3 linked regions of the Macaca fascicularis genome follow. The protein of the gene in region 2 binds, or shares a complex with, the protein of the main gene of each other region. Links are inferred from orthologs where the notes say so. Each region holds a gene or a part of one and is shown on either strand. Other genes may lie near its edges.

Region 1 (6,289 bases), on a different chromosome or scaffold from region 2:
AGAAGTGTATTTGAGGAGCAACTTAATAAACTAAGGTCTTTTTTTTCTTTTTTCGAGACAGAGTCTTACTCTGTCACCCTGGAGTACAGTGGCACAATCTCGGCTTACTGCAACCTCTGCCTCCCAGGTTCAAGCGATTCTTCCGCCTCAGCCTCCCAAGTAGTTGGGATTACAGGCACACACCACCACATCCAGCTAATTTTTGTATTTTTAGTAGAGACAGGATTTCACCATGTTGCCCAGGCTGGTCTCAAACTCCTGACCTCAAGTGATCTGCCCACCCCGGCCTCCCAAAGTGCTGGGATTACAGGCGTAAGCCAGAGTGCCTGGCCATAAATTAAGGTCTCTTGAACAGACTCTCAATTGCACATACTATTATTTATATGGCTAACTCCCAAACACCTATACTTCGATCAGTCAGATTGTTCTTCATTATTTTAATGTAGCTAATACTAAATTTTTGCAAGAGTTTCTTTCTTGAAACTCTTGCCTATTCAATTTCTTTTTATACTAGTAGTTTACAAGTACAAAATTAAACCTTACCCCTAACCTGAATATCAATCTAAAAATACTTCAGATAGAAAGACACGAAGTAAATCCAAAGAAAGTAGAAAGAAAATAAAAAAGCAGAAATTAATTAAATAAAAATAAACATGTAACAAGGCAATGAGAAGACAGTCACCGAATAAGAGAAAATATTTGCAAAAACAAATCTGATAAAGTACTATTCTGCAAAATATACAACTAACTCTCAAACGTCAACAATAAGAAAACAAACAGCCAAATAAAAAACGGGCCAAAGACCTTAAAAGACATCTCACCAAATAAGGCATACAGATAGCAAATAAGCATATGAAAAGATGTTCTACATCATACGCCATCAGAAAAATGCAAATTAAAACAACAATGTGATACTACTACACACACACTAAAATTGCCAAAATCCTGAACACTGACAACACCAAATGCTGGTGAGGATGTGGAGCAACAGGAACTCTCACTGCCGGTGGAAATGCAAAAAGGTACAGGCACTTCAGAAGACAGTCGTGGCAGTTACTTACAAAATTAAACACATTCTTACCATGCAATCCAGCATTTGTGCTCCCTGGCATTTACCCAAAGGAGCTGAAAACTTATGACCACACAAAAACCTGTACACAGATTTCCACTGTAGCTTATTCATAACTGCCAAAACTTGGAAGATGTCCTTCAGTAGGTAAATGGATACATAAACTGTGGTACATCCAATGGAATATTATTCAGCACTAAAAAGAAATGACCTATCAAACCATGAAAAGGAATGGAGAAATCTTAAATGCCAATTACCAAATGAAAGAAGCCAATCTAAAAAAGCCACATACTATACAATTCCAACTATATAACATTCTGACAAAGGCAAATTATGGAGACAGTAAAAAGATAAGTGGTTGTCAAGGGTTGTGGGTAGGGATGAATAAGTGGAGCATGGAGGATTTTTAGGGCAGTGAAACTATTGAGTATGATCCTATAATGGTGGATAGATGTCATTATACATTTGTCCAAACTCACAGAATTACTACACCAAGAGTGAATCCAAATGTAAACCGTGGACTTTGAGTGATTATGACGTGTCAATGTAGGTTCATCATTTGTAACAAATGTACCACTCTGGTGGGAGATATTGATAATTGGAAAGGTTATGCATGTGTGGGGCAGAAGGTATGTGGAAAGTCTCTGTGTCTTCCTCTCAATTTTGCTATGGACCTGAAACTGTTCATATTTGAGTACAGCAAGAAAAGGAATCAAATGCATAAGAAGTTTATTTCACACAGCACCGTGTCCTATTTCTTGACATGCATAACCCAAAGAATCATAAAGTTGTTGTTGTTTTAACTGAGGTCCTACCTGGTCGAATTGTACTATCTCTTCCAAATAGATGAAGGCGTCTTCTACCAAGACAAAAATGCTCAATTATATGAAAAATTTCTACAGGTTTTTCTATATTGCCAATTTCAGGTTCTTCTGTGATAATTAAGTCAATGTCAACATTAGCATGAATGAAGTCCCCATCTGTGCTACGCTTCACAGTTCCTTTGATCCCCATGAGGCAGTGTTCCTAAATAACAAGAGCAGACCAATTAATCTCTTTTAATCAACAGTCATTCCAAAACCTTTTACATTGACGTCCTCAATTCTAAAACAATCCTCATTTCTCCAAATCTTTGGGATACAGTTATTTCTCTCTTTTTTGAGACTAGGTCTCACTCTGTCACCCAGGCTGGAGTACAGTGGCACGATCTCAGCTCACTGCAGCCTTGATCTCCTGGGCTCAAGTGATCCCCCTGCCTCAGCCTCCCAAGTAGCTGGGACCACAGGAACACACCACCACACCTGGCTAATTTTTAAATTTTTTGTAAAGACAGGGTCTCGCCATGTTGCTCAGGCTGGTCTCAAATTCCTGGGCTCAGGTGATCTACCTACCTCGGCCTCCCAAAGTGCAGGGATTATAGAAGTGAGCCACCATTTCTGGTGAGATACAGTTCTATGGGCAACAAAACAACAGGAAAACCTGGATCTCTGGATGAGGATAGACTGCCATGTAAATAAGAAAAACTCTTTTCTACACTCTCACTTACAACACTCAGTATTTTCAGAATACTTCATTTCTGATCCCAGATGTGTGGATTTTTCCCATACCAAGCAATTCTTCATTTCTTCATCAACACATTCAATTCAATTCTGACACTATCTACCTAGTTAGTGCAGACCCCACAGGTCAAGGGCTGAGAACCACATGATTGCACCACCTTCAGATACCAATCACAAGTCCAGATTGTCACCTGTGCTTCTGACCAACTGGCTATAAATCAGAGGTTCCCACGACCTCTTCCTCGAGTTAGATCATTTGCTAGAACAGCTCAAGGAATTCAGGAAAGCTCTTTACTTACTATGATCTATTTATTATAAAAGGATACAACTCAAAACAGCCAGATGGAAGAGATATATAATGAAAAGTATGGGGCATGGGGCATGGAGCTGCTGTGCCCTCTCCAAGTGGACCACAGTCCCAGAAACTCCACAGGTTCACCAACCCAGCTCTCCAACCCCTGTCTTGGAATTTTTACGGAGGCTTCATTACCTAGGCATGATTCCAGTCCAAAAAAGACTTAATAAGAAAGACCCTCCCACCAGTGGCTCCCTAAAAAGTAAAGAACAAAACCTGTTAAAACCTGATACTAGCAACTCAGAGTCACAAGAAACAGAAGTTCTCAGGGGTTCTTGTAAAGGAAAAAGAAGGAAAGAAGAGAGAAATATGTCTCTAAGCTGGCCAGCTAGAGTTTTGCGGCTCTCTCTTCTTTCTGAGCCTAGAAAAATTCCACAGGTCAGTGTGATCAAAAGCCTTTATCTAATAGAAATATGGCATTTAGGACATAGAGGAATATATACTCCCCTTTTTAGCATGGTGGGGTTATCTAAGACAATGAATAAAACATTTTAAAACAAATTTGGATGTATTCCTGTAATGCTCAATGCTATCTTCACCAGTCTAAGAAAAGGACCTTTTTACTAAAGTTAATTAAACAGTATATAGTGATTTGGAAAAGCTTGAGAGAAAACCATGAAAATTTAAAAAAACAAATCAGTAAAGGCAATACCTTTGTTCTCTGAAAGACAGCCTTTGGATCTAAAGTCTTAGTCTTCCCAGGATTGTTTTTATTGGTTTTAATCCAACAAATATCTTCACATCTTCTGTAGCCCCATTTTCGTAAACACTAGAAACAAAAGAATTTTAAACAGAAATCCTTAACTTAAAGAAATAAACAATACTTACAATAACCAACTAGCTTTAAAAAAAACTTTCTAGAGGCTTCAGACACTATATTCCAAGGTTTCAAGGTAATTTTTTTTCAGTGTAGAATATAAAAAGAAATGCCAGTCTTTAAATATATAGCCATAATACGGAATACATATATACCTTCTGGATATCAACGTCACATATATAGTTGACTATCAAAACATAGAAAGGATTACATCATCTCCCAATTCTACATTCTAGTGTCATCAATGGACATGGGGTTTTAAATTTTAAGCGCTCAGACCTTCTGTAATCACAAAATAATCCAAAACACAATTTGATTCCCACCACCTCAATATTCTATTCTCTGACAAAGCTGTACACTGTTGAAAATCTTCTAAATGCTAACTTCAAATGAGAGTCTTATAAAACCTTATTTCTATATTTAATACGACTGTAAAAATGTTCAAACTTAAAATTGCTACATGTATCTCTTTGTTGGGTAAAATGGTACTTTCATCTCTACATAACCTAGAAAATAGAGATGTGAACCTTAATGACCTAGAAGCTGTTACACATTAACATAAAACAAATACCAGCTAAATGATTGCTCACAGTGACATCTGAAAGTCTACCATATGCTAGTGCTGCGTAGCTGCTGGGAATAAAAACATGAATAAGACACAGTCCCTATCCCCATCAACTTAAGAATAAAGGAAGGAAAAATAAATAAATAAGTACAGTATTGCTGGTATGATGATCAAGTACATATAAAGATATAGTAGAGGGGGGTTGGGGACTAGGGGAGGGATAGCATTAGGAGAAATACCTAATGTAGATTACAGGTTGATGGGTGCAGCAAACCACCATGGCACGTGTATACCTACGTAACAAACCTGCATGGTCTGCACATGTATCCCAGAACTTAAAGTATAATTAAAAAAAAAACAAAAAACAAAAAACTTTCCAACAAGCTTCCTTTCCACCACAGGAAATCCTGTTGGGAGTTCCCCCTGAACCAAAAAAAAAAAAAAAAAGATATAGTAGAGTATAAAACATACACTTTTCAGGAATGCTTATTGGGTAATGTAAGATAACACCTCAAAATGAAACTTAGAATTTTATTTTATTTTATTAATTTATTTATTTAGAGACGGAGTTTCACGCAGGCGAGAGTTCAGGAGTGTAATCTTCACTCACTGCAACCTCCGCTTCCCAGGTTCAAGTGATTCTCATGCCTCAGCTTCCCAACTGGCTGGGACCACAAGCACGTGCCACCATGCCATGCTAATTTTTGTATTTTTAGTAGAGATGGGGTTTCACCATGTTGGCCAGGCTGGTCTTGAACTCCTGGCCTCAAGTGATCTGCCCGCCTCTGTCTCTCAAAGTGCTGGGATGACAGATATGAGCCACTGCACCCAGCAGAGTTTTATTTTAAAATCTCTGAAATCAAGATCAATATTTGTTCCTGTTACTAAATATTTATTTTGCACCGTGTCATTAACATCACTCTGACCTAAATTCTACATGCCCTAATCCACTAATTTATCAAAAGCTCATGAGTATTTCTCATGCTGAATTATTTTTCTAAATCTTAAATCATTTTTCGCCAAACTCTCACCAGTATGATAAACTGCTGCATAAGCAAATAAGATAAAAACCTCCTGGATGGCTACTCAGGAGGCTGAAGCAGGAGAATCACTTCAATTGGGAGGCAGGGCTTTACAGTGAGCCAAGATAGCACAACTGCATTCCAGCATGGGTGACAAAGCAAGGCTCTGTCTCAAAAGAAAAAAAAAAAGATAAAAATCTCCTAATCATTTTCAATCTAATTTGGGGAATGAGAGATGAGAGGAAAGATCAAAGTCAGATATTAAAGTTAAAGTAAATACCAATATGCCTATAAAAACATATGTTTCACTCTTACTTTTCTATAGCATCTTGAAGAGCCACCACCAAAAAAAAATGGAGATATTCAACTGAAATACAGTTATAGTCTACCTTGGAGTTAATAAATAATAGAAGCAGTGATGTTACCCAACAGCCTTACTATTTATATAAAGCATATAAAGTAATTGTAGAATTTCAGAATTTGGGCACAATCTTATTTCCATATAATCATACTTGTTATCTCATATAATCCTACTTAAATTTTTCAACTGTCAAATGGATACCTCCCCAAATTGGAATGATTAAATGAGATAGTTTGGTGTATAGTAAGTAATATGTCATAAAAATGAAAAGTGTCAACCAATAAAATGTGACGAAACTGAGACCCTCAAGAGTATCTTTTTGCCCAAAGTCTTACTGTTACATAGCAGACGAATTGAGAGCAAAATTAAGACTCCTGATACCTAGTCATAATACTGTTGTTATTCTTGTTTAAAACAGCATATATATTATTTTGTTCCTTTTGGCCAGGGCCAATCAGGCCCAGGAATGGTGGCTCATGCCTGTAATCCCAACACTTTGGGAGGCTGAGGTGGGAGGATCCCTTGAGCCCAGGAGTTTGAG
Region 2 (7,085 bases):
CTCTCCTCACAAATCTGGCCATTGATCACAAAGAGATCAAATGAAAGCTCGGGTTGCACCTTAACAATTCCATCATCAACAGCAAAAGAAGGGTTCAAACTCCTGGCCAACTGAACCGTGGGTCACTTTTATCCACTTTTACACATGTGCCCTCTCTAAAGCACATATGTAAACTGAGGATAAAACCTAACTTGGTTGGGTACAGTGGCTCACATCTGTAATCCCAGTGCTTTGGGGAGGCTGAGATAGGAGGATCACTTGAGGCCAGGAGTTTGAAATAAGCCTGGGCAACACGGCTAGACCCCATTGCTACAAAAAATTTAAAAATTAGCTGAGTGTGGTGGTGTGTGCCTGTGGTCCTACCTACATAGGAGGCTGAACCGGGAAGATTGCTTGAGCCCAGGAATTTGAGGTTGCAGTGAGTTATGACTGCACCATTACACTCCAGCCTGGGTGACAGAGCAAGTCCCTGTCTCTAAAACTAAAACTAAAACAAAACAAAACAACAAAAAAGAAAAAAAAGAAAAGAAAAAACTCACTAAGCAGCTTTATGCTTTAAAGCAGGAGTTCCCAGCCCCCAGGCTGTGGACCAGTAATGGTCAGTTGCCTGTTAGGACATGGCTGCACAGCAGGTGAGGGGCAGGGGAGGGAGCATTACTGCCTGAGCTCCACCTCCTGACAGATCAGCAGAGGCACTAGATTCTCAGAGGAGGGCTAACCCTATTGTGAACGGAGTATGTGAGGGATGTCGGTTGTGTGTTCCTTATGAGAATCTAATGCCTGATGATCTGAGGTGGCACAGTTCCATGAAACTGGTCCCTGGTGCCAAAAAGATTGGGGACCACTGCTTTAAAGAACACAAAGGATTTTCAGGTAGTATCTGCTGGGAGCCAGGGAAGGGGGTAATTTTGGGGGCAAGAATACAAAGGAAATGAAAACAAATCATTTAACTACAGCATGGATCCAACTTATGTCATTATTCAGTTGTTGTGGAAACACACACACATGTACACACATACACATCACAGACAATATTTTGGCTGTTACTGTAATAGAATCTAGGCCTTTTCCATCTAAGCATAAAACTTACTAGTCCTCTTGGCTCCAGGCAGATTTTCAGTCCCCCTTGGCAAGCCTTTGTACTATAGCCAGCCGCGGGCAGTAGCTTCCATCAAGCTCTCCGGTATTTGAAGTGGCAAGCCACTAAGCTTGGCATGCCTCTGGTGCATGTTCACACAGACTGGGTGTCTGCTTGTCTCCCTGAATTATTTCTCTCAAATCTTGTGCTCCCTCAACCCCTATCATGAGGTCTGGAAAACTACTGATTTGGTCATTATCTTTTTCTTTGATCAGTGAGTCACCTTAGCAGGTCAATTTAGGTTAAAAAGTCACTCTAGTGCCTGGTTTATTATCTCGATTGGCTGTTATATTGAGTAATTAGATAATGGCTTAACTTCAATTTCCATTTGTGGTCTATTAATATAACCTTGAAACATTTAAACCCAGGTAAAACTTTTTCTTTTATTTCATGCTTTTACAAATAATATGTTCATGTATTTTTTATCCTCCAGCATCCAGATTTTTATCTTTAAATACCATTTCCCACTAAAAGGAACCAGAGCTCTCTGGAGAAATGGCTGACTCCACAACTGGGGCAGGAAATGTATATCAGGTAAGTCTGGAAGAAAACAATGGAGAAAGGAAGAGTGGGAAGAGTGATGCAGATGAAACAAGATTGACATGATTTGATAATTGTTGAAGTAGGGTGTTGGGTACACGTGGGAGTTCTTTATTCTTTTATGTATTTTAAACTTTTTCTATAAAAATAGTTTAAGGAAAGTTAAAAATGATATTTTCTAAACTGAAGGAGTAATAGTGCGCCCTTTGTAGAAACAAAAGATTTCTACAAAGAAAAGTGAAGTCTCCCTCCGACTCCAGATCCTTACACCCCTCCTCAGGGCAATCCTGGGAACAATTTCCCACGTAGTTGTCAAGAAAGTTTCCACGAAAATATTTTTAAATGTACATACTCATAAAATACAAATATTTTTAAAACCACAAATGGTAGCGTATTATACACGTTATTTTATGCCTTCTGAAGTTTTATTTCCTATTTTAATACAATGAATATGTCTACACATTACAATATTGTGGATTTTTATGCTTTACAATTGAGCTTCTTCCTTCAAGTTTCTTTGATTTATTCAAGAGATAAAAGGCCTACAGCTTCATATTCCTCAGGATTATTTACAAAAAGAAGGATGGCTCAGCCAAGGCTAAATTTAGGTTACAGTTCCTAATATTAACAGTTTTCAAGTTTAGGTTTCAGCTTTTGGGACATTATTGTTACCCTGAAAAATGTCATGTTTAAAAACACCTCACACCTCTACTATAGATTGGATCTTGGGAAATAGGGTTGAGGACGGGATCAATATAACCTCCGCCCCGGCGCATACCCGGGAGAGCTGCAGACGGTCTAAAGGATGTGGTGACCTCAGCGCTGCGTCCCTGCAGCAACCGGCGAGTGCTGAGGCACAGGCCATATCCCCCTAAGCTCGGCATCGCCTGCACCTCTCACAGGTGCTCTGTCCGCCACAGTAACGCTCTATGGAAATTAAAGTTGTAAGGCGAACGACAGAAGGAGCCAAACGAGGTGGATCCGGAGCCGCCACAAGGTGCCTGTGCTGCTGGCTTTTAACACACAAAAAGAGGAGTGCCAAGGAATACAAGAAGCCACAGGGGGAATAAAAAGCGACATATCTGCATGGAGCCTAAATTTCGCTCGATGATTTTCAGGGAAGAAGCATTACATATTAAAAACAAACATTGCTATTTTACGGGAATACCGGATTTAAAAATCCACACAGATTCGCAACATAAAACAGGCAGCCCAAAGACACGTCCGCGGTGTCCTGACAGTTCCGGCTCCGCCCGCGGGCCACGAGGCGGGGATCGACGGTCACTCCCCTCGGTTGCCCAGAGTACTTGGGCGGCAACGGGGAGCGCCGGGGGGAGACAAGCTCCTGGGCTAGGGCTGCGTCTTAGCCACCTTGCTTAGCTCTCGAGGTCCCGCGTGTTACGTGTTAGCACCGCCCCGGGGCGTCAGCGTGACCCGGGGCTGCAGGAACCGTGAACTCCCTGCCCCGCGGGCCCAGGTGACCGCGGGCATCGCTCTCCCGCGCGCGGGGGGCGGGGCTTCCCCCGGCTGTGCACTCAGCTACCACAGCGACATAAGATGGTGTCCGCTAGGCGTCCCAGGACGGCTTCCTAAGGGACTGGAGGGCCCCGACAGCCGGAGAGTCTGCCCCGCCCCTTGGCCGGCACAGGTAGGACGGCGGGGAGCTCAGAAGTTTCGAACTCCAAGGGCCGAAGCACAGCCAAATACCCCACGGAACTTAACAAATGTTTGTGGGGAGAACGCCAAAAACGCGGGGAGGCGGGGCTGGCGCACAGTCACCCTCTCGCGACATCTAAGTGACGTCGCATAGCAAGCACGTGTTCTAGTCTTTCACCTTCAGTCAGCCTCCTCCGTTATATGGGCCTGCCCCTTTAAGCGAGTGATGGACAGTTACTTCAGCCTATCAACTTCCTTGCAGACATCCAATCAGATTTAAACTTCTTTTAGCCGCCGGAGGAGTTGGAAAAAGGGGGTCGAAAGAGGGAGCTCACCGTCTCTCGCGATATCGCTGTGAGCCTGCCTCTCGGAAAAACGCCGAAACTTGGCCCCACCTCCCAAATAGTGGTTTAAAGGACGGGTTTACAAGCCAATGAAAGGGATGAGGAGGCGGGGTTGCTGCTTTCACTGAGCAAGAAGTACCGTTACAGGGCAGACTTTTTGTCCAATCAACACAGCTACACTTTGGGTCACGTGACCGCAGAGTGCGAGGGGCGGAGCTACAGCCTGGCGCGAGGAACCGTTAAGATAGACAACAAATGTAACCAATGAGGTACTCTGACTAGGGGGTTGGGAACCCAATAACAGTGGTTGGGCGGGCGCCTTCCTGGAGCGCGGGGAGATGTAAAGATAGACAAATAATTTTCCCAATGAGACTGTAGAAGAGAGAGCTAATTGGCCAATGAGGACTGCGGGGCGGGACCCTGTGCCGCGGCGGAGTCCAAGATGGCGGCGTGCGGTTCCGCTGTGTGAAACGAGCGCGGGGCGGCGGGTTGATCAGCTCCGCGGAGACGACCTCCGAGGACCCGCAACAATGAAGGGAAAAGAGCGCTCGCCAGTCAAGGCCAAACGCTCCCGTGGTGGTGAGGACTCGACTTCCCGCGGAGAGCGGAGCAAGAAGTTAGGGGGCTCTGGTGGCAGCAATGGGAGCAGCAGCGGAAAGACCGATAGCGGCGGCGGGTCGCGGCGGAGTCTCCACCTGGACAAGTCCAGCAGTCGAGGTGGCAGCCGCGAGTATGACACCGGTGGGGGCAGCTCCAGTAGCCGCTTGCATAGTTATAGCTCCCCGAGCACCAAAAATTCTTCGGGCGGGGGCGAGTCGCGCAGCAGCTCCCGGGGTGGAGGCGGGGAGTCACGTTCCTCTGGGGCCGCCTCCTCAGCTCCCGGCGGCGGGGACGGCGCGGAATACAAGACTCTGAAGATAAGCGAGTTGGGGTCCCAGCTTAGTGACGAAGCGGTGGAGGACGGCCTGTTTCATGAGTTCAAACGTTTCGGTGATGTAAGTGTCAAAATCAGTCATCTGTCGGGTTCTGGCAGCGGGGATGAGCGGGTAGCCTTTGTGAACTTCCGGCGGCCAGAGGACGCGCGGGCGGCCAAGCATGCCAGAGGCCGCCTGGTGCTCTATGACCGGCCTCTGAAGATAGAAGCTGTGTATGTGAGCCGGCGCCGCAGCCGCTCCCCTTTAGACAAAGATACTTATCCTCCTTCAGCCAGCGTGGTCGGGGCCTCTGTAGGTGGTCACCGGCACCCCCCTGGAGGTGGTGGAGGCCAGAGATCACTTTCCCCTGGTGGCGCTGCTTTAGGATACAGAGACTACCGGCTGCAGCAGTTGGCTCTTGGCCGCCTGCCCCCTCCACCTCCGCCACCATTGCCTCGAGAGCTGGAGAGAGAAAGAGACTACCCGTTCTATGAGAGAGTGCGCCCTGCATACAGTCTTGAGCCAAGGGTGGGAGCTGGAGCAGGTGCTGCTCCTTTCAGAGAAGTGGATGAGATTTCACCCGAGGATGATCAGCGAGCTAACCGGACGCTTTTCTTGGGCAACCTAGACATCACTGTAACGGAGAATGATCTAAGAAGGGCGTTTGATCGCTTTGGAGTCATCACAGAAGTAGATATCAAGAGGCCTTCTCGCGGCCAGACTAGTACTTACGGCTTTCTCAAATTTGAGAACTTAGATATGTCCCACCGGGCCAAATTAGCAATGTCCGGCAAAATTATAATTCGGAATCCTATCAAAATTGGTTATGGTAAAGCTACACCCACCACCCGCCTCTGGGTGGGAGGCCTGGGACCTTGGGTTCCTCTTGCTGCCCTGGCACGAGAATTTGATCGATTTGGCACCATACGCACCATAGACTACCGAAAAGGTGATAGTTGGGCATATATCCAGTATGAAAGCCTGGATGCAGCGCATGCTGCCTGGACCCATATGCGGGGCTTCCCACTTGGTGGCCCAGATCGACGCCTTAGAGTAGACTTTGCCGACACCGAACATCGTTACCAGCAGCAGTATCTGCAGCCTCTGCCCTTGACTCATTATGAGCTGGTGACAGATGCTTTTGGACATCGGGCACCTGACCCTTTGAGGGGTGCTCGGGATAGGACACCACCCTTACTATACAGAGATCGTGATAGGGACCTTTATCCTGACTCTGATTGGGTGCCACCCCCACCCCCAGTCCGAGAACGCAGCACTCGGACTGCAGCTACTTCTGTGCCTGCTTACGAGCCACTGGATAGCCTTGATCGCAGGCGGGATGGTTGGTCCTTGGACCGGGACAGAGGTGATCGAGATCTGCCCAGCAGCAGAGACCAGCCTAGGAAGCGAAGGCTGCCTGAGGAGAGTGGAGGACGTCATCTGGATAGGTCTCCTGAGAGTGACCGCCCACGAAAACGTCACTGCGCTCCTTCTCCTGACCGCAGTCCAGAATTGAGCAGTAGCCGGGATCGTTACAACAGCGACAATGATCGATCTTCCCGTCTTCTCTTGGAAAGGCCCTCTCCAATCAGAGACAGACGAGGTAGTTTGGAGAAGAGCCAGGGTGACAAGCGAGACCGTAAAAACTCTGCATCAGCTGAACGAGATAGGAAGCACCGGACAACTGCTCCCACTGAGGGAAAAAGCCCTCTGAAAAAAGAAGACCGCTCTGATGGGAGTGCACCTAGCACCAGCACTGCTTCCTGCAAGCTGAAGTCCCCGTCCCAGAAACAGGATGGGGGGACAGCCCCTGCGGCAGCAGCCTCTCCCAAACTCTGTTTGGCCTGGCAGGGCATGCTTCTACTGAAGAACAGCAACTTTCCTTCCAACATGCATCTGTTGCAGGGTGACCTCCAAGTGGCTAGTAGTCTTCTTGTGGAGGGTTCAACTGGAGGCAAAGTGGCCCAGCTCAAGATCACTCAGCGTCTCCGTTTGGACCAGCCCAAGTTGGATGAAGTAACTCGACGCATCAAAGTAGCAGGGCCCAATGGTTATGCCATTCTTCTGGCTGTGCCTGGAAGTTCTGACAGCCGGTCCTCCTCTTCCTCAGCTGCATCAGACACTGCCACTTCTACTCAGAGGCCACTTAGGAACCTTGTGTCCTATTTAAAGCAAAAGCAGGCAGCCGGGGTGATCAGCCTCCCTGTGGGGGGCAACAAAGACAAGGAAAACACCGGGGTCCTTCATGCCTTCCCACCTTGTGAGTTCTCCCAGCAGTTCCTGGATTCCCCTGCCAAGGCACTGGCCAAATCTGAAGAAGATTACCTGGTCATGATCATTGTCCGTGGTGCGTCCTAAAGTCCATGTGTAACTTGTATTTACTACTTTGACATGGTTCCTGTTTTGTGATGTGTAATGGGATACAGCATCAGATGCAATTTTCTTTTTAGTTGTTAGTTGTAGCATTTTCTTTTTTATATTTTTATAAACGTC
Region 3 (6,289 bases), on a different chromosome or scaffold from region 2:
ATTATATCAATAATCAATTCTGAAATCCATCTGTTTTCATCTCAAATTATCATCTGAAATGGAAACAGAGCCAGTTTTAACACACACCTTGGCTATACCAGTATTATTACACTAAGGAATCTAGTGCTGTATCAGAAAAGTTCTTGAAAAGGTACATGCAACATCAATCACAAATGCTTCTCTATGAAAATCAGTACCTACAAATAAAAATGCATGAGAGTATATTTATTCTTGCTAGAAAAAAAATTTAATAAGGATTTTCCTTAACAGGAAGTCCTCCAGCATGGGCAACATAGTAAGACCCCAACTCTACAAAAATTTTTTTTTAAAAATTAGCCAGGCACACATGCTTGTAGTGCCAGCCTCTGGAAAGGCTGAGGTGAGAGGATTGCTTAAGCCCAAGTGGTTGATGCTGTGACCATGCCACTGCATTCCAGCCTGGGAAACAGGGACCCTGTCTCAAAAAAAAGGAGGAAAGAGGGAAGTTTATGGTACATCCATCTTCCATAACTCTCAAGAATATATCTATTATATTAATTGAGGCACATTCAACAATTAAGTTTTTTTTTTTAAGACTTTATTAACAGAAAAGATCATCCTTTTGACACAAAAATAAGACCAGTGGTCACGTACCACAATTCAAACATGCAAATATCTGCCAATCTAGGAGTGTCACACTTTCCACAAATTAGTTCCAAATGCTAGTGGAACCTATGTGCACATACAGAGCAATTGCAAATATGTAAAGAAAAGCTCAAATGTTTCCCAATAAAATTTTACTGCTTTTCTTTAGCCTCAGCAATAAAAGGAGAAATTATTTGCTTGTTCTTGTAATTATTTATGAAGACAAGAAGAAAAAAATGATCACTTTTAAAGGGATCTAATAATTGTGATATTTACCTTTGAGACTTGGATAAAGACAGTGTGACATTCTTGTCCTTGGGGTAAGTTCAGAATGACCTTATTGGTTAAAATGTTTTTTAAATTCTAGTCTTTCCTTCTCCTAGTGAGGCTTTCACTTGCCTGACACACTACTTCAGTATGCCTTAGAACTTTAAAAATGAGAGCATTTTGTAAATAATTGTCAGTCTTTGAAGAAGTGTTGCACGGTTCTTTCACCTACAGCATAATTTTTTTTTTTTGAGATGGGGGTCTCACTGTGTTGCCCAGACTGGAGTGCAGTGGCGTGATCTCAGCTCACTGGAGCCTTGATGTCCCCAGGCTCAGATGATCCTCCCACCTCAGCCTCAAGAGTAGCTGGGACGATAGGTGTGCACCAGCACCCCCAGCTAATTTTTGGAGTTTTAGTAGAGATGGGGTTTCACCATGTTGCCCAGGCTGGTCTCAAACTCCTAAGCTCAAGTGATCTGCCTACCTCAGCCTTCCAAAGTGTTGGGATTACAGGTATGAGCCACCATGCCTGGCCTCATGTTTTCTAACCTAATGTAATTCAAGGAAGTTTGTAATTAAGCTTTCTTCCAGAAAATATGTGAAGAGTTAAACCTGGGTTACTACTGCTCAGAGGAGCCGAAGGGTGAAAGGTCACCAGTGAGCATGTGGTAAAGGCTTTATTCTTTCATAACATTATTAGCTGGTGTTCTTGTTCGTTGCTACTGTAGCTCCAGATTTCCACCATTTCCCATAAGCACTCTCAGGCGTTAGCCTCCACTGAACATCCACTTAGAAATTAAACAGTGGGAAAATGAGAGATATGCAAGATTGTCAAAAGCGATGGAATTCCTGCCTATGCGCTCAAAACTATCTTCTTGCAAAGTATATCTATTTCATTGGTGTTTACAACTAACTTTCTTATTATATGAATTTTAAAGAGTGGAAAAAGACAACTATAAGAGACATTAATTTGTGACCTGACTTAACCCCATATAAAAATGTCACAAATTCTAATGCAAAAAAGGGGTTCGTTTAAAAAGTCATACCTTTTAATAAATAAATGTCTAAGCTAAGGTAATCGTATCACATTTAAAACTAGTGATTACTGAAATAAATTTTAACAAAACCACAGTTTTGAAAAAATAATTTAATTACAAGTAATTGTTTCTGAAATAATTTTTTAAAATTACAAACAAAAAAACCCATTCCTAAAATCAATTAACCCACACACATAATAGAAAGCACGTTGAAAGATATACCTCTAAACACTCTAAAATGTGTGCATTCTCACATGAATGAAATATTTTAACTGAACTGGACAGGTTATTTCTGAGAATCTTTCTTCCTCAAAATTAAAACAAAAAAACAGTAAAGCGAAGACACACGTGCGCACGCACACACCCCAAAGCAAAACCCATTCCACTACTGGAAATATTCCAGACAGGGGATTGCCTGAGCCATTATTTGTTTCAAATTAGTGATGTATTTATAGTACCTGATATACTCTGGCTTACAGCCAATTTTACAGAAAAAAATCAATTTATAAGTGATTTAAATAGATTATGATTCCTTAATATAATGGAAATACACTATGCAACCATTAAAAATGTAGTAGTCTAGATACACTAAAAAATGGAAAAATGCCGAAGAGACCAACTAAAAAAAAAGGTGCAACTCATCTGTGTTTATGGTATGATCACATTTGTTTAAAATAATATACATAAAATGACTGTATATGCATAGAAATTATCTTGATGATACCCAAGAAAAAGTAATAGCAGTTACTGCTCCTGGAGAACAGAATGAGGATATCCAGGTAACATCAGAGAGTGACACTCACTTTTCATCTCCCCCTTTCTCTATAGTATTTCAATTTTATATACAAGCATGTATTATCTTATTATTAAAAGGGAAAATTTTAACAATGACAAGAAAAAAACCCATAGAACTCATGACTGTTATCTAAGTGGCAAAGAAAGATGCCTGCTAAATTTGAGTACATGTTAATAATACATTTTATGAATTACTTTTCTACTAAATTCTACTAAAAAGATACTTAGGCCATTTCTACTGTGAACTTAAAATGGCATAAAATATATACAAAAGCGTTAATGCAATCACATAAGCTAATTTCAAACAGATCCGGTTACTTACCCTCCAACCCTCACAAATAGTGAGAATTTTAGAAGCAGGTTTCTTGCTGAAAAGTCACACAAACCACTTCTTCAACCCACCCTCTGCCCCACAATCAGTTCCCTAAAGCACAAACATATATAAGATACTTACAATTGATTTGAATGATTAAGAGAGAACTTAAGTCACCCTTGTTAAAACTGCACTTAAACGTTGGGACAAGCTGGAACATTTATCTTCCACTCATCTTAGACTCCATTATCACCAAGCGAAAATTTGAATTGGTGACTTATAGAATGATCTGACGGAAAAAATTCACCTCCAGGATTGGATGGAAGCATGAAGAAAATAATGCCTCATTTATCTAAATGATTAAATGAATTTACTAGAAATGATCACTATACCTTTTTTCAATTCACAAAATGTCTTACTTAGGCCAGCCCACAGTTCCAACACAGTATCTTCTGGCAGGCACCCTGTGAAGCTGTCCCGCAATTACTTTCTACTGCAGTACCCTGGGACAAAGTGTCATTAAGGTAACCAGTGTCAAGTCTCCTTGTCTTTTATGTAGGTCTTTTAAAAATGAGGCACAGCGCCTTTTCCTTCACTTTGAAGAGCACAGCAACAGTATTTCCAAAATGAATCTGCTCTCCACAGGCCCCCCCCCAAATTAAAATGTTAGAGTACAACAAAATCATCATAATATTCTTTGAACTTAAAAAAAAAAAACCAACTATTTCAAGGCACATTTAATTTAATATCAAGAGTGCAATACAAAAGGCCCAAATACAATGAAGGAACACATTCCCCCATTAACACCAACGACAATGCTCTTTTAAACATGTGCCTGTTGAATGGAATGGGGATTTCATAAAATTCACTAAAAAAATAATGCAGTGAGTCTCATCACAGCTAATATCCTTATACAATCTAGTTGTGAAATGAATGTTTATAATGCTTCAAACAGTTTCAACCTGAAGTTTGATACCACACCTTCACGTTTGTACAGTCCTCAGTAAGATAATCTACAGTTTTGCAACCATTCAAAGAACAAACCATTGAATAAAACCACATTGATTAAGGCTCAAGCAAGTAATATAGAGCCCCAAACTAAATGGTTAAATATATGCGCTACTTGTACGGACATCTATTATTTGATTCTCTCGTGACTATTAAAAGTTGGTTCTCAGCAAATAAACCCTTTAAAGGCAAAATTCACCTCATTTGAGTTTTGACCCAGAAGTTCAACAACAATCATGAAGTCCACAGTCTTATTGGCAAAACTGATACACAGTGTCTCTAAGTCACTATGCTCAAGGTTAAGAGCGATGCATATTCCATTTTTACATTTTACTGGAATTTTACATGTTCAATTCATGATTTAAAATCTCTAGGTTTTCATTCCTTCAAACTGTCTGAAGACACAGTGTGCCACAGACTTAAGACTTCTGTTTCTCCCTCTATTTTCTTCAAACAGAAACATTTCTCAAGTGTCTACATGTTCTAGAAGGGGAATTTTTCGGAGGTGGCCACTTCTTCGGAATAGTCCGACGCCATCAGGCCTCTGAAGCAAGGGGAAGGGGAAAAGAAAAAAGCTGAAACACAAGGTTCATCTGGTAAGTTTTACATTAACCATTACAAGCTGGACAGTGTAAGAATGTGGCTTTTTTTGGCTCAAAAAGTCTGAGTCTTGGTGTGGAAACGAGTACTTGGCTGTCCCACCACAGCTTTCTCGTAGTGGGACTGTCAGGGAAGTCTTGACTGGGGAGTATGATTTGTTTACCTATCAGGCGTAAACTTCCAGGCACTCAGTTCATTTTGGGCTTGTTCCAGTTTGTCTTTAGTCTGTTCCAGTTCACCTTTCATTTTTAGGAAAAACAAGTTGATCGCTGGGTCTACCATTGTTGATCTCAGTTGGGCAACGCTCGGCTGCTGGACTTGCTTGAGGTACTGGATTTGAGTCTGTGCAAAGCAAAAGAAACAATTACGACCAAATCAAAGGAAACATACATAAGAAGGTGGGGGAAAACTCCCTCCATTCACTTGATTTACCAACTCTTTCATTAAGTCCTCCCCTCTTTCATCCTGAAATTCTCTAGAAAAATCTTAAAACTTTCTCGAAAAAGTACAGATTAAAAACTATTTGATGAATATGCTAATTACCCCAATCTGATCACTACACATTATATGTATTGAAACATCACTAGTAGTCCTTGAATATGTACAAAAATTATTTGTCAATTAAAAAATAACTAAGGTTATTCATTTAGGAATTGAGGCCATTTGATTACGTCTCCAAATCTGGATCTTAAAGGGGCTACATACATTTTACTTTACAATCCAAAATTACCAAAAAAACAAACAAAAATCAACATTATATTTACTAAAAATGCTGACAACCCACTGGAAAAAAGCAAAGTTTAAAATATTAATTACCTAAGAGTTAATGAAGTCTTTTGGTTTGCTTATTTTAATTTTTTGCCTATGGAAATTATTCTATGTAAAGTCCCCTAAAAATACATCAGGTGAAAGATTATAACTTAAAATACACATTTGCATTTCTAAAGGAAAAAATATACAGTACACATAGCTACAAGAGTTGCCGTTACAACTTTATAAAAGCAAAACTATAGGACCTTAAGCCAAAATAAAGTATAATTCATATTTTTTCTCCCTCTGAATAGATTTGAATCATAGAATTGTAAAGCTGGAAAGTAACTAACCTAACCCAAACTGCTTATTTTGAGATTAAATAACCCAACTGTTTAGTTCAGTGCCATAGCTGGGACAAGAACTCTAGTTCTCCAGCCTTCTGATTCCCAGTCTAGAGCTTTTTCCATCACACCGGAACCCTTCTACTTACATATGAAACCTTCAATTTCGACTTCAGTTGTACTATTTACTAGAACACTAAAAATACATTTCTAAAATATGAAATATAGTTATTAGCATTAAATTCATCATTTTCTTCATACTCAAAGTAGATCCGGCCCAAGATCTAACTCCATACTAAGGCTTAAACAGAATTACAGTTGAAATTTTCTAATATAAATTTAGTAAAGGAACAAATATACTAAGTAGTTTGGGAATATATTTGTTCCATTGAGCAAAAATCTACTACAACTGCATAGTCAATGTGAAACCAGCTGCTAAGATAACTTAAGAGAGCAAGAATAAACCATGACTTACAGTGCACTCCACGTACTGACAGGACTGATTAAAACAGTCTACAACACTGACTGAGACTCAGTTACTATTTAGCTTT

What was found. The genes of interacting proteins can lie anywhere in the genome.
Region 1: RBM15 (region 2) and METTL14 share a complex: the UniProt entries of both Homo sapiens proteins name them as parts of the WMM complex. The link is inferred for Macaca fascicularis from reciprocal best matches to the Homo sapiens genes RBM15 and METTL14.
Region 3: RBM15 (region 2) and WTAP share a complex: the UniProt entries of both Homo sapiens proteins name them as parts of the WMM complex. The link is inferred for Macaca fascicularis from reciprocal best matches to the Homo sapiens genes RBM15 and WTAP.

Annotation. Positions count from the first base shown.
Region 1 is NC_088379.1:123,997,555-124,003,843, reverse strand, and holds part of METTL14 (N(6)-adenosine-methyltransferase non-catalytic subunit METTL14), read right to left. Parts: intron 3,753-6,289; coding exon 3,636-3,752; intron 2,096-3,635; coding exon 1,885-2,095; intron 1-1,884. UniProt on the Homo sapiens protein: The METTL3-METTL14 heterodimer forms a N6-methyltransferase complex that methylates adenosine residues at the N(6) position of some mRNAs and regulates the circadian clock, differentiation of embryonic stem cells and cortical neurogenesis.
Region 2 is NC_088375.1:123,968,701-123,975,785, reverse strand, and holds the start of RBM15 (RNA-binding protein 15), read left to right. Parts: upstream 1-3,196; 5' UTR 3,197-4,076; coding exon 4,077-6,939; intron 6,940-7,085. UniProt on the Homo sapiens protein: RNA-binding protein that acts as a key regulator of N6-methyladenosine (m6A) methylation of RNAs, thereby regulating different processes, such as hematopoietic cell homeostasis, alternative splicing of mRNAs and X chromosome inactivation mediated by Xist RNA.
Region 3 is NC_088378.1:11,236,507-11,242,795, forward strand, and holds part of WTAP (pre-mRNA-splicing regulator WTAP), read right to left. Parts: intron 4,987-6,289; coding exon 4,808-4,986; intron 4,589-4,807; coding exon of another isoform or gene 4,528-4,588; exon of another isoform or gene 3,761-4,527; intron 1-3,760. UniProt on the Homo sapiens protein: Associated component of the WMM complex, a complex that mediates N6-methyladenosine (m6A) methylation of RNAs, a modification that plays a role in the efficiency of mRNA splicing and RNA processing.